2 linked regions of the Macaca fascicularis genome follow. The protein of the gene in region 2 binds, or shares a complex with, the protein of the main gene of each other region. Links are inferred from orthologs where the notes say so. Each region holds a gene or a part of one and is shown on either strand. Other genes may lie near its edges.

Region 1 (6,080 bases), on a different chromosome or scaffold from region 2:
AAACTAGGATGGGGGAGAAACAGAAAGAAAGAAAAATGCCTTATGCTGATTCCTGAAGTGAAGCCACTTGACCTGAAAAACTGACATTTCTCTCTATGGAGAATTCGAAGCAGTGCAGGCCTCCTAGGGCTGATCTCTAGGCCAAGCTTGCTTAACATTTCTACAAATTGTCTGACAAGGGGATGATACAGTAGTGTCTACAGGTCAACTGACTCCAAGCTGTCTCGGTAAGGGAAACGGCAAACTGAGATGAACTTCAGAAGTTCTCAAAGGGCCAGGCAAGAGGGCAGAAAACTACAGATTAGATCTAGCCCTCGTATGGTTAAAATAATTCAAACTATTATTTAAAGATGATGGGTCCTAAGCTAGGGGCTACAGGTCAGAAATTAGGAATTAAATGGCTCTGATGGTCTACAGATCATCAAGCTAATCTAACAGCTTTCTGCAGCTCCCAAGTCTAAGAAACTCTTCATAGCATCAAAAAGGGTGCTAGAAGCTAAGCAAAACATTATCCTACTCTACACATGATCTAGACTGTCCACATCTGTACCGCTCTGCACAGTTCTGATTATTACATCTTGGTTATTAAGGACATAGGAAAGCTGGAAAAAGTTCAAAGAGTAATAATTAGGCCACACCATGAAGAGAAGTCCATGAAACTATCCCTCTCATCTATAAAAACGAAGCAGGGCCAGCCTGCTGGTTCACACCTGTAATCCCAGTGCTCTGGGAGAGCGAGGCAGGAGAATCACTTGAAGCCAAGAGTTTGAGACCAGCCTGGGCAACATAGTGAGACTCCACCTCTACAAAAAAAAAAAAAAAACGAAAATTAGCCAGGCACGGTAGCACACACTTGTAGTTCTAGTTACTTGGAAGGCTAAGGCTGGAGAATCACTTGAGCCAAGAGATTGAGACTGCAGTGAGCTGTGGTCACACCACGGAACTCCAGCCTAGGCAATAGAGTGAGACCCTGTCATAAAAGGAAGGGAAGGGAAGGGAAGGGCAGGGCAGGGAAGGACAGGGCAGGGCAGGGCAGGGCAGGGGAAAAGAAAAGGAAAAAATCTAAAAATTAAATAAGTATCTCAGCAAGTATAGAATTCTATTTGGAAGCAAAATGTGAATGTGAATACAGATATAAATTAAGCCACAATAATAATGTCCTAAATATTTAAGTAGTACATTCTACCATGCAACAAATATCTCTAATAAACAGAAAGTATGCCTATCTGTTTAATTTTACCTACGTGGGTGTGAAATGTATGGCTTTAAGCTTTTGCAAAATGATAAAGGCACCACCCCCACAACACATTGGTTTTAAAGTCACTGATAAACAATCTTACCCAAAACAACTCCAACAAAATCACCTACTAACTACAGTTACTACTTTAGTCCTGATGGTTTATGTAACACAAGTTAGCTCAGTTATAATTGCACTTCAATAAAAATATATCAAAGCTGGAAGAGGTTAGGAACTTAGAGTTTTAGTAGGTAGCATTACTACTACTAATAGTAGCGTAATAATAATAAGGCAAAGAACGACATTTCATGGAAACCTACAGTGAGAGATAACTTGGCAGTGTAAGAGGGAGGCCTTTGTGTTCAAATATTACTGCCGCTGCTTAACTGTGTGACCCAGGCAAGGTACTGAACCTCTCTGTGCCTCTATCTCTTCACTTCAAAAATGAGAAACAGCATAGTGCCTACCTCACAAGCTGCAATCCCTGCACATAGTAGTCACTAAATCTTAACTGTTGCCAATATTGTTATTGTTGTCGTCATTTATTATTATTGCAATTTACAAAGAACTTTCACATACAGTAGCTAATGACTATTAAGTAATAGCACAAAGAAATACTTAATTTAAAGGGTAATTACATCACATGTCAAGTATATGGGAAAGGGTATGATTTCCACCACCATCCTTTATGCTTGTCTTCTGGTTTGTCAGAAAGAGCCAGTCATATCTAAACTGTGATTGGATGGATGTAAAAGTAAGTAACAGACAGAGTAGTTAATAACAGCTAACATTTGTGGAGTACTCACAATGTTCCAGATAGTTTATTCAGCATTTTAGATGCATTACCATTATTTAATCTTATTATAAATGTTACAGCTGAGGGATGGAGCCCAGCCAGGTTACATAACCTTTCCAAGGTTATTGTGGAGTCAACCCAGGCAGATTGACTTTGGAGGACGTGCCAGCCCATTGTCCTCCTGCCCAGGACTGACTTCCCTTTGAAAACAAACGTGCAAAACATTCTGATCATCTTGCTCATTATCAACAACAGAAACAACCAGTATTGTGCTCATCTCTCTAAATGAAGACACAGGCACATATTCACTCTACAGGAGTCACCCTTCCTCTGGACCAGCAATCCTCTTAGAACTGTTAATGAGGATCATCTAAATTCTCATTCCTGGTGAGCAACATTTTTCCTTGTACTTCTTGAATTCTAGCTTACATATTTAACATAAAACTATACGTTCAATCATTCAATATATTCTGGGATTCCCTTGAAGTGTAATATTGACCAATCCCAGTTACTAAAAAATGTCACAACAAAAATGCCCCTTGCACTAATATCCTTCTCTAATATCAGGGTTCTTAGCAAGCAGCTTGGTAATCCACAAATCCTGAATTGTAAATAGAAGTTATATGCATAGATATATATATATATATATATATGCATTTTCCTGTTCTGAAAGACAAGTCCATTCATTAGATTCTTCAGAATGTCCCAAAATGTTAAAAAATGACTACTCATTTAGATAGAGGGCCTCCCAAGACAAATTACATCATTACATTCATTTTAAAATCTTTGGGAGTTCTCAAATGGAATAAATACTGCAATTCAATGCCTTATGATTTCATGCCAGAGTGACAGCAAACCTCATAAGGGACAGGATTCTGGATTAAGAATGAGGAGACTTGCTCTAGCAGGAATTCTCTGTATAGGTGACCTTGGCGAAATCACTTAGAATTTCAGGACTTTGTTCCATGATCTGGAAAGTGACTGTGTTTTAAAAGGTGATTTCAGGGTTTCCCCCACAGCTCTATGCCTCTATAACATAATAATACCACAGGTGCAATGCAAAATAAGACAGAAAGTACTCCAGCCACTTACATCACTAATGAGTTGCGTGCATTTTCTGGCCAATTCCATGCTTAAGTCTTCAATAACAGGCTTATAGAAGACCTATATGAAAAAAAAAAAAAAGAAAGAAAGAGAACATTTTTCTCATCATCAATTTAGAGGAACAAATGCTGGTCATGAGTATGTGTTTTCTTACTCACCCGGTCTTCTTCATTTTCTTCTTCCCCTATTGTTTCTTCTTCAGTTTCATCTTTTACATCCTCAAATACAGGGACCCTCATTTTTACCCTTTAAAATAGTTATTTTTAAAATTTACTCATGTGGCGTCCTTTTTCGTACCACAGCGCCCTTGAGATGCTGATGTCTCTGGTGCTCTGTTCGAAACGCCCTTGCCCAAGCCTCAGCCCTATTTAGCCCACACTTCACTCCTTATCTCAGTGGTGTGTGAGTGAACAGAACAGGATCCCAGAGGTCTACCAGGCTGGCCTCACAAGTGGACATAACATATTCTTGGGCAAAACTTGATTTTATGAACTTTTAAAGTCAACATTTTTTCCACTGGTTAAGAAATCCAAAAGAGAAAATTTATTTATCTTTTACTAATTCTATTCATTCATAAAAGAGTGTAAAAAGGACTTAGAGATTCCACAAAAACTACTCAGCTCTAACACTCAAGATAGCACAGTCCAAAGCCTGTTATCTCAAAGACTCCTCATCTCTGTCTAAATAAAGCTTTCACTGGAATGTCGGACTTCTTTCTGACTTGGGGTAGAGAATCTGGATCATTCAAGCTCATTTTGTTAACCCAAATTATATGTTTTATCAGACACACCAGTACTTCTCACATCCTAAAAAATACCCACTTTATATTAGCTGATTAGAGGCTAGTTATTTATTATGAAAAGCCCTTTGAACCACTTCAAAGAATCTATTCTGAGTTAATGATGACTGTTAGTCTTATACTGGCGAGTATGGTATTGTATTAATTGTAAACATCATTAAACATGAGAAGTTGCAGTTAACACATGTTGATATATAATTTAACAATTCTAGAAACATCACTGTTTCAAAAATAATCATCATCATCTTTGAATTCTGCAATTCTACTCATCATGTCAATTTTTACAGATTCATTGGTGATGTGCATTATTACTCAATGGGTACCCCACATTCAGAAAAGTTTGGAAAAATAAACCATCACAATATTTATAATGTGGTATGTGTCCTTGGTTATGTAAAACCAAGGTTAAAAATACATTTTTCAAAACAAATATTTTAATGTCAATTCAGGCAATTCCAAGACTCTCTACAACTCACGATTTATTAATCTGGTTATTTAAATCCTAGGGGAAATTAATTTTACCAAGTCATAGCATATTAGCGTCGGGCATAAAAAAATACTCTACAAGGAATAGTAATACTGATGACAGAAAATACAAATTTATTAAAAATAATACATCATTCTAAGTAGCCAAGCATAACTCTTTTTCTCTTGATATCATATCTAGTTTTCAATGTGTTATTAAAAAAATGCCTTGGCCTTACCTAAACTGAAAACCCTAACAAGAAAAACATTCTACACAGTCATCGTGTACAAATTATTTCTGAAATTGTGTTTCATGAGGCAAAAGTTCCACAAAAGATTCTGGGGGAGAAGAGCAGGTTTCTTAAACAAATACGTTTGGGAAATCTGTACCCCAATCTCTGCCCCTGCCACTTAGAGATCTACAAGGCATACTGACACATTAGAAGTTCTGAGAAGACCTTCAACCAAAAAACCTACTTAGGCTTGCTTAACCTCCTTTTCCCCTGAACACAAAACCTATCTATCTCATCAAATCTAATCCAATTTAATCTAATCTACCTACCTACCTATCTTTCTATCTACCTATCACTTTTTTTTAATTATACCCACTACCCCAGAAAACTAACACTCCTCTGTGAAATATGACCTATTACTGAGGGAAATATTGCTCTATTCTGCTAAAATGTTGTGTTCTAGAAGGAGCTATTGGTCTTGAACTAGTTTTTGATAAAGGCTAAATTAATGGTATCACATATCCTGTTCACCAGCAAAGCACCAAAAAGAAATTGTCCCAAGCATGCTAAATTTGGAAACCACAACTCTAAGATTACAGCCATATCATGCTGGCCCAGTACAGTGGATTCCACAAGGACATTGCTTGTACATTTTATTTGTTCCATAAAAGGAAAGAATGTGTGGATTCTAATTATTTCCCTCAAGTCCTCCACTGGCCAGAAGATTATTCTAATATTCTATAGATCTATTACATTATCTTTATTGGGAAATAAAGAGGAGTAATTTCTGTAAACTTGTCTTGCAAATTTCTAGAAGTGTAGGGAGAAACTCTCGTCGAAACTGCCTGAGACACACCTTTTGGCTCATATTTGAGGAGATAGTACTGGTGTTGCTCAGGGTGACACCTATTCCCCAAGGTGAATTACATTCATCAGGCTTGCACTGCAGTTATTTCTCATTTCCCATCATGTAATACGTTCTTAAGGACTCTTCACTGTGCTGCAAGAAAATAAGCTGTTGAGATTTAATGCTCAAAGTTTTGAAAACAAAAACCAAACACCATGTGCAATGTGAACACAAATTTTCCATTTGAGATTCTAGAATCAGAATTTCAAGCAAAGGGATCCTTAAGAAATCAATATACCTAAAGCCCTCTCTTTCACAGATGACAAAATGAAGGCTATGAAAAATTATCTGTCTCATTTACAAACTATGAAGTACTAGGATCAGAACCTAACTAAAGACCTGTGTTCATTTGTTCAACAAATAAATGTTTTTATGCCAGGCACTGTGCTTGGTATTAGAGATATGATGGTGAATAAAACATCCTCATACTAAGATAGAGTAGGAAATAAAACACTCATCACTCAAGACTTGCCGTCATGAAGTCTTTAATGGATTGCTTGGCAAGCTAGAGACAACATTACTTTTGATTGAATGTATCT
Region 2 (5,998 bases):
TGCCTGAGCCAGCCAGGGGCAACCTGCTTGAATCCCCTTCCATACTGTGGAAGCTCTGTTCTTTTTCTTTACGATAAATCTTGCTGCTGTTCTTTGGGTCTATGCTGCCTTTATGAGCTGTAACACTCACCCGGAAAATCTGCAGCTTCACTCCTGAAGCCAGCGAGACCATGAACCCACCAGAAGGAAGAAACTCCGAACACGTCCGAATGTCAGAAGGAACAAACTCCAGAAACACCATCTGTAAGAACTGTAACACTCACCCCGAGGGTCCGCGGGGTCATTCTTGAAGTCAGTGAGACCAAGAACCTGCCAATTCCAGACACAAATGCTCTTATTGCGGCTTTCCATCCTAGAATTAGCAAATAACATAAGACAATTATGAGTACAATTAGCAGCATTGTTTTCTAGGTAAAAAGTGAGCTGTAGTGTTACTTGACACTTCAGTTTGATGAGTGCTGTTACTAAGAACACTACTGGGGGTATGTTAACTTCTTCCAGCCAAGCAGTTAACTTACTGGAAGCTGGAAAGTGTGTTTGCTTAAGTAACAGGGCTGAAAAAGACAGATTTAAGAGATGAGCTTAATAGAGTGTAGCAGGTATAGGTAGTAGACAAAATGAGAGAATTAAAAACGAATAATTTATTTGGCTTAGCCTTTGGCGTCGGCATGTCTGGGGTCTGTGTTGTTTGTGGAAGCCTCATTGTTGAGGCTGTGGGTCCTGTAGGGTTTTTCTTAGGCTGGCTTGAGTTTTTCCTTCTTTCCTTCCTTTGATGAGAACATGGTCTCCAGGCTGGTGCTAGAAATTCTAGGGCTGGTGCGTGTGCTAAGAGATTTTTACAATCTTTAAAGAGCAGGTTAGTGCTTTAAGAAAAACTTGTGCTTTATTTTAATGTTTACAGAAAAACTGGATGATACCTTTTTAACTTTTGCCAGTATGTTTACACATAAAATTTTCATAATTAACATTTTAAAACCAAAAAGTATACATTTCCTGCATAAATTTCTTCATGACTTTCACAGTCTTCAACATGCCTTAACTTTCTGGCTGTGTTTTATAAGCTTCATTACTAAAGGTACATTCCTATATTTATAACTTGCTTAATATTTCCTTTCCCTTATTCCTAGTTTTTCCTTAGTTTTTCTTTTTGCGTCTCTTTCTGATCTGTTTTCTAGTCTCTTACTCATTCTTTCCCTTTATTTCTTTCTAGGTATGGACACAAGCATACTTTCTTCCTCACGTTAATAATTCACTTGGACCATGCCATATATTGTTCACATCTTTCCATACAACTGCAGGTTTTATGCCTTGAGAGGTTTTAGTAAAGTGCTTTTCTAGAGCTGATTAAAATTTGTCATCTAAATTTAAAAAAACAAGGGTAAATAAGGCTTGTGCCAATAGTGTTGCAGGGTCTTTACCTATATTCCTTTTTCCTGTTTTTTTGAGCATATTTTTAAGGGTGAACTGTGCTCCTTCTGCTATTGCCTGTCCTTGGGGTTATATGGGATGCCTGTGGAATGTTTGATATTCCACGTGTGACAAAATTGTTGAAATTGTGAGCTGGTACAAGCTGGACTATTGTCAGTCTTTATTTTTGTGGTCTGTCCTATAAATGCAAAACTTAAAAGATGTTTAATGACATATTGAGTAGACTTTCCAGGCAAAGCATGTGCATTAATTAAATGAGTGTTGGTATCAATGCACATATCTTAGTTTTCCAAATTCAGGGGTGCAATATCTGTTTGCCATAACTGATTGGGTTCCAATCCTCCAGGGTATACTTGCTGAAGGAGGGGATGTGCCTGTGAGTTGGCAATCTGGGCATTGTAGATAATTTATTTAGCTAGCCTCTGGGTAAATTGAAATTGTTTAGACACATTTTTCCAATTTTGGTGGAAAAACAGATGTGATTGGGTGAGTTGGTCAAGTAGTGATACCATAACTTGAAGTTCTGCTTGATCATTGCTATAAGCCAATGTGCCAGGCAGTGAGCTGTGGGCTCAAATGTGTGTAATAAAAATAGGATGTGTACATTGGTCTAGCAATTACTGAAGCTGGGAAAAAAGAGCACACAGAGTGGGCTCCAGAGTGAACTTAACTGAGGCTGTAAAAGTTCTTTAATAAACAGTAACCTCAGCTGAGTGCTAGTAAATTTAGATTGAGTGACTGGATTATATGGTCTCTACCAGACCCATCAGTAAACAGTGTTAAAGCATTAGGTATGGGGGATTGCAATGCCACTTTGAATTGCCTCTTAAATGAATCCTGATGGTATCAGGGTCATAACTTATCAATTGACTGCATTAAGATGGCAAGCTGAAATAAGTAACATGAATTTTGAAAAGAAAATTTGAAAGCATTTCTAGAAGCAGAGACTCAAATATACTTTAACCATGTGCTTAAAGCCACAGGCAGAATAGCTTAAATCTCGCAATCGAGTTTTCAGGCTGACTATATTTAGGGACTCCAATGTAGCAAACAGTCTTGAAAACAGTGACTCACTAGCTGGGGAACTCAATTCAGCACTCTTTTAGCAAGTACAAATCAAAGACTATCTGTAATCAGTGGGTTAAGACAGTCATTCATGCATATGTTTTCACTACACTTACATACAACTTTTCTTCACTTTCTGAGAAGGGCACATTTTTACCTTCTAATTTAACATACATCATTCAATTAGGTTTAAAGTTCTCCTTTAAAGGGCAATGTGTGGTTTTGCATGCTAGCTTTTAATTGCTTTTTAACTAATTCATGGGCCCTCTGTAATCTCTCCCTTCAGAGGTTACTGTTTTACTTAAATTGGATTTGGAGAGCTAAGTCAGGGGTAGGAGAGAGATAACAGAAGCCATTATTAGAAAAGAGGTTTTACAACTTCTTACGTTTTACTTAAATCTTAGAGAATTATAATCAAGGAGGTCGTTAGTAAACAAGGAGCACACGAGATTTTGCTGTGGGCCACTTGCAGAGCTAGAAAGCTGAGCAGATGGGTCCCGGGGCGGGGGCTGTTACACTTGTGCGACTTCTTTCGCTTGTGCCGCCCCCTCCCGCTACCTCAGGGCAGCTGTTGCCGGCTGGGCGGACTCCGGCGCTGCGCGCCTCCCGGCCCTCTGCAGTAGGCTAACTTCAACGCGCTGGGCCTGGCTCCTCACTGCTACTGCCGCCGTGCAGGCGAGTTCCCCGGACCATTTGCCAGCTCAGTGTTTGCGAGCTTCCTTGCTGCTGAGCCTTTCCTTCTGTCTACTGCCTGCTTGGCCGCAGGGCTCCAGCCTCTAATGCTTTTTATCATATCTTTATGTACCTGATTTCTTTGCTGATCTTGCATTACTGGGCAGGTTAAGAGCTCTCCTTCTAGTGCTGCCTGCTGAAAACAGGAAGTGATTGCTGTAGCGTATCCTCTTTTTTCTTATCTATTGGAGGCCGCGGCTCAGGTAAAACCTCCGTTTCCTCTTTGTTATGTTGGCCCTGTGATATAAGGGCCCAGAGAAGAGGAGGTGATAAGACAGGCGACAGTTTTCTCCTACTTCCTCTTTTTAGGCTCTTCTGTGTGTAACTGAGCCACAGCCGCTCTAGTTAAAGCCCATAACGTTAAAGCTGTTCCTGGGACCTGTCGCCTTGGCGCCTAATGCTACAATTTCTCCCCACTTGATCCCAAAGTTCTACATCTAGCATTCCTTCTGGATACCATGGGCTTTGGGATTTAACAGTTTGCATTACGGCAGTTTGTTTAGCATGGATGATTAGGTCCTTTAATTGAGCCTGCAAAACTGAGGCTCCTCTAGCCTTAGACAACTGTTTTAATACTGTTATGTACTGTTTCTGCTGTGCTAACTGTTGTCCTATGATGAAAACTCAGCTTGACCTAACTTCCCCCAGAACTTGGTAACCTCGAGTGGGCACTAATGACTTTACTGATTACTCACTGACTTCACCGCGTTCCTTTCCTCATCTTCGTTTTCCGGGGGTCCGTCGCGTTTCCTGCACGCTTCCTTCGCAGCTTTCCTCACCAGGGTGGTCCTCACACTTCCTTTGCAGCCTGCCTCAAGAGGGGCTCCAACTGCGGCGAGTCTGTTTCTGCAGACCCCTGACTGGCCTCACAGAGGGCACCAGTTGAGGTATTGCTCCTCACGAGAGGGCATTAGCTGCAGGGTTCTGCCCTCAGACCCTGACCTAAACGACGGATAAATAAAACGTACACTGATACAGATATTCCGCTTTGTCAGTCCTGCCGAGTGCCCATCCACCTGTCCACCAAGAGAAGTTTGTCACTATAGCCGGCCCTGAGCAGCTCGCACTGCAGGCATTTATTTAGCATACAATTAACAACAGAAGCTCTGAGTCAAAACACTTGAGGGTAATTAACATGGTTAAGAGAGTAGTTTTACGAATGATTAAAGCTCAGGTACCGCGGTTTAAAGTAAATACCACTGGGGGCAATATCCGGGTCGGCCTCCCCTCAACTCTGGGAGGGCTATACTGCTGAAAGGTCAGTTAATGGAGGTAGGGTAAACAGAACTGCGGAAGCCGCTATTGTCCCTAGTATTTACCCTATGACCTAATGCTCTAAGGGAAGAACTGGCTGCCTTCAGTCTGTTCAATTATTACAAGCTCTGTAACCTTTTGGCCTTTCAAAAAGTTTGTGACTATTCCCTATAAGTTTCCGTAATATTTTCCTTTAGTGTTTCTGCCACCATCCTGAGTGAATCTCACCAGGTTTCTCTGTTGGACAGGCAAATTATCCCTGAATCTCTGCAATTTCAGTTTAATAGGAATCTCACCTGTTACAGAGAGAGGTAGGTAAGGACACTCACCTGTACTTTACTCCTACTTCCAGTCCTACCCTCAACACTAGCTGAACTCCAGCAACACTACTGCCCCATTGTGCTGGAGATAAGCGCTTTTAATGGATTTTACTAAAGGCAGTTGAATCTAATCAGACTGAACAACTAATCAAGTATCATCATAGCCTTATTAGTTAAAATACAAAGAATATACCATTTATTACAAACTTTCACAAGAAATCAAATTCTAAAATTTCGTTTTATTTTAGGCATCCTCTGTAAAAGCTAAGGAAAAAAAACAGATGTAAATTAGGAACTTAACTCCCTTCCTCCGATGATTGCTTCTAAAATCTTTTCATTTTAACTAACAGTCTGTGACTTGACCTACATGCCTTCTTTTAAAACATCTCATAGCATTCTAACGTGTCAAAGATCCCCTGGAAACTTGCATTACAAGCTCCTCATCATCAGCTTCATATACATTATTCCAAACTTTGTCTCGTTTTCCTAAAGACAGAGTGTGTAAAAAACATTATAGGTTTTTGGGACAGAAGTAGGCAAACTTCAACTAGAAGGCATATGTTAACATTTCAAGTGCCCCCACATCTAAGAAAGAGGTTCCAGGGCTGAGGCCCAGGCCATGCTAGAGAGGACATGGCTATGGTGATTGGATGGCAGAATAGTCACTGTGATGCTATGTAGGTAGAACTTGCTGGACATCCATCCTCTAGAACACCAGAGAAAGTTGTTCAAGGGGAGATGTTTCACTGCAAGCACTCTACTACAAAAGTGCGCAAGGGAAGTGCTCAGGTAAATGCTGGCTGCTGGGTGCTGTACACTGCAGGAGATAGATGCCAGAGAAGCCGTGCATGAATCATTTTCCAAGATGAGTTGTTGGCTCTTTATTTTTTACTGGAATGATTACTAAACCAATCTCCCAGGAGAGTGAGCTGCAGAGGCTAAGCTGCAAGAGCCTACCCAGAGAGCTTACCAGAACCAAGAAGCCCATCTCCTAACCTCTTACAATGTTTCTTCAACACCCTCTAATGATAGTTCTCACTGTCAGCCAACAACAGAAAAATATATTTATAGGGTCCATGTACATTTTTTGCAGAGCAGGCAATGAAGAATGAACTTGAAGCTAACAGGCAATAAATAGTGACTGTCACAACTCCAGTGCAAATGTAGTTTATAAGATCTAGAAGGTTGGTCCTTATGTG

Evidence for each region.
Region 1: the proteins of XIRP2 (region 2) and NEBL are in contact, whole or in part, in a crystal structure (PDB 4F14), measured with the Homo sapiens proteins. The link is inferred for Macaca fascicularis from reciprocal best matches to the Homo sapiens genes XIRP2 and NEBL. Residues at the interface, in NP_689594.4 of Homo sapiens: Pro2420, Pro2421, Pro2422, Thr2423, Leu2424, Pro2425, Lys2426, Pro2427; in NP_006384.1 of Homo sapiens: Tyr963, Asp964, Tyr965, Asp969, Asp971, Glu972, Ile987, Asp988, Asp989, Gly990, Trp991, Met1004, Pro1006, Asn1008, Tyr1009.

The regions. Positions count from the first base shown.
Region 1 is NC_088383.1:21,724,096-21,730,175, forward strand, and holds the start of NEBL (nebulette), read right to left. Parts: upstream 3,481-6,080; 5' UTR 3,377-3,480; coding exon 3,296-3,376; intron 3,198-3,295; coding exon 3,126-3,197; intron 2,421-3,125; exon of another isoform or gene 2,217-2,420; intron 1-2,216. UniProt on the Homo sapiens protein: Binds to actin and plays an important role in the assembly of the Z-disk. May functionally link sarcomeric actin to the desmin intermediate filaments in the heart muscle sarcomeres.
Region 2 is NC_088386.1:62,196,323-62,202,320, reverse strand, and holds the start of XIRP2 (xin actin-binding repeat-containing protein 2), read right to left. Parts: upstream 3,370-5,998; 5' UTR 3,299-3,369; intron 353-3,298; 5' UTR 285-352; coding exon 264-284; intron 1-263.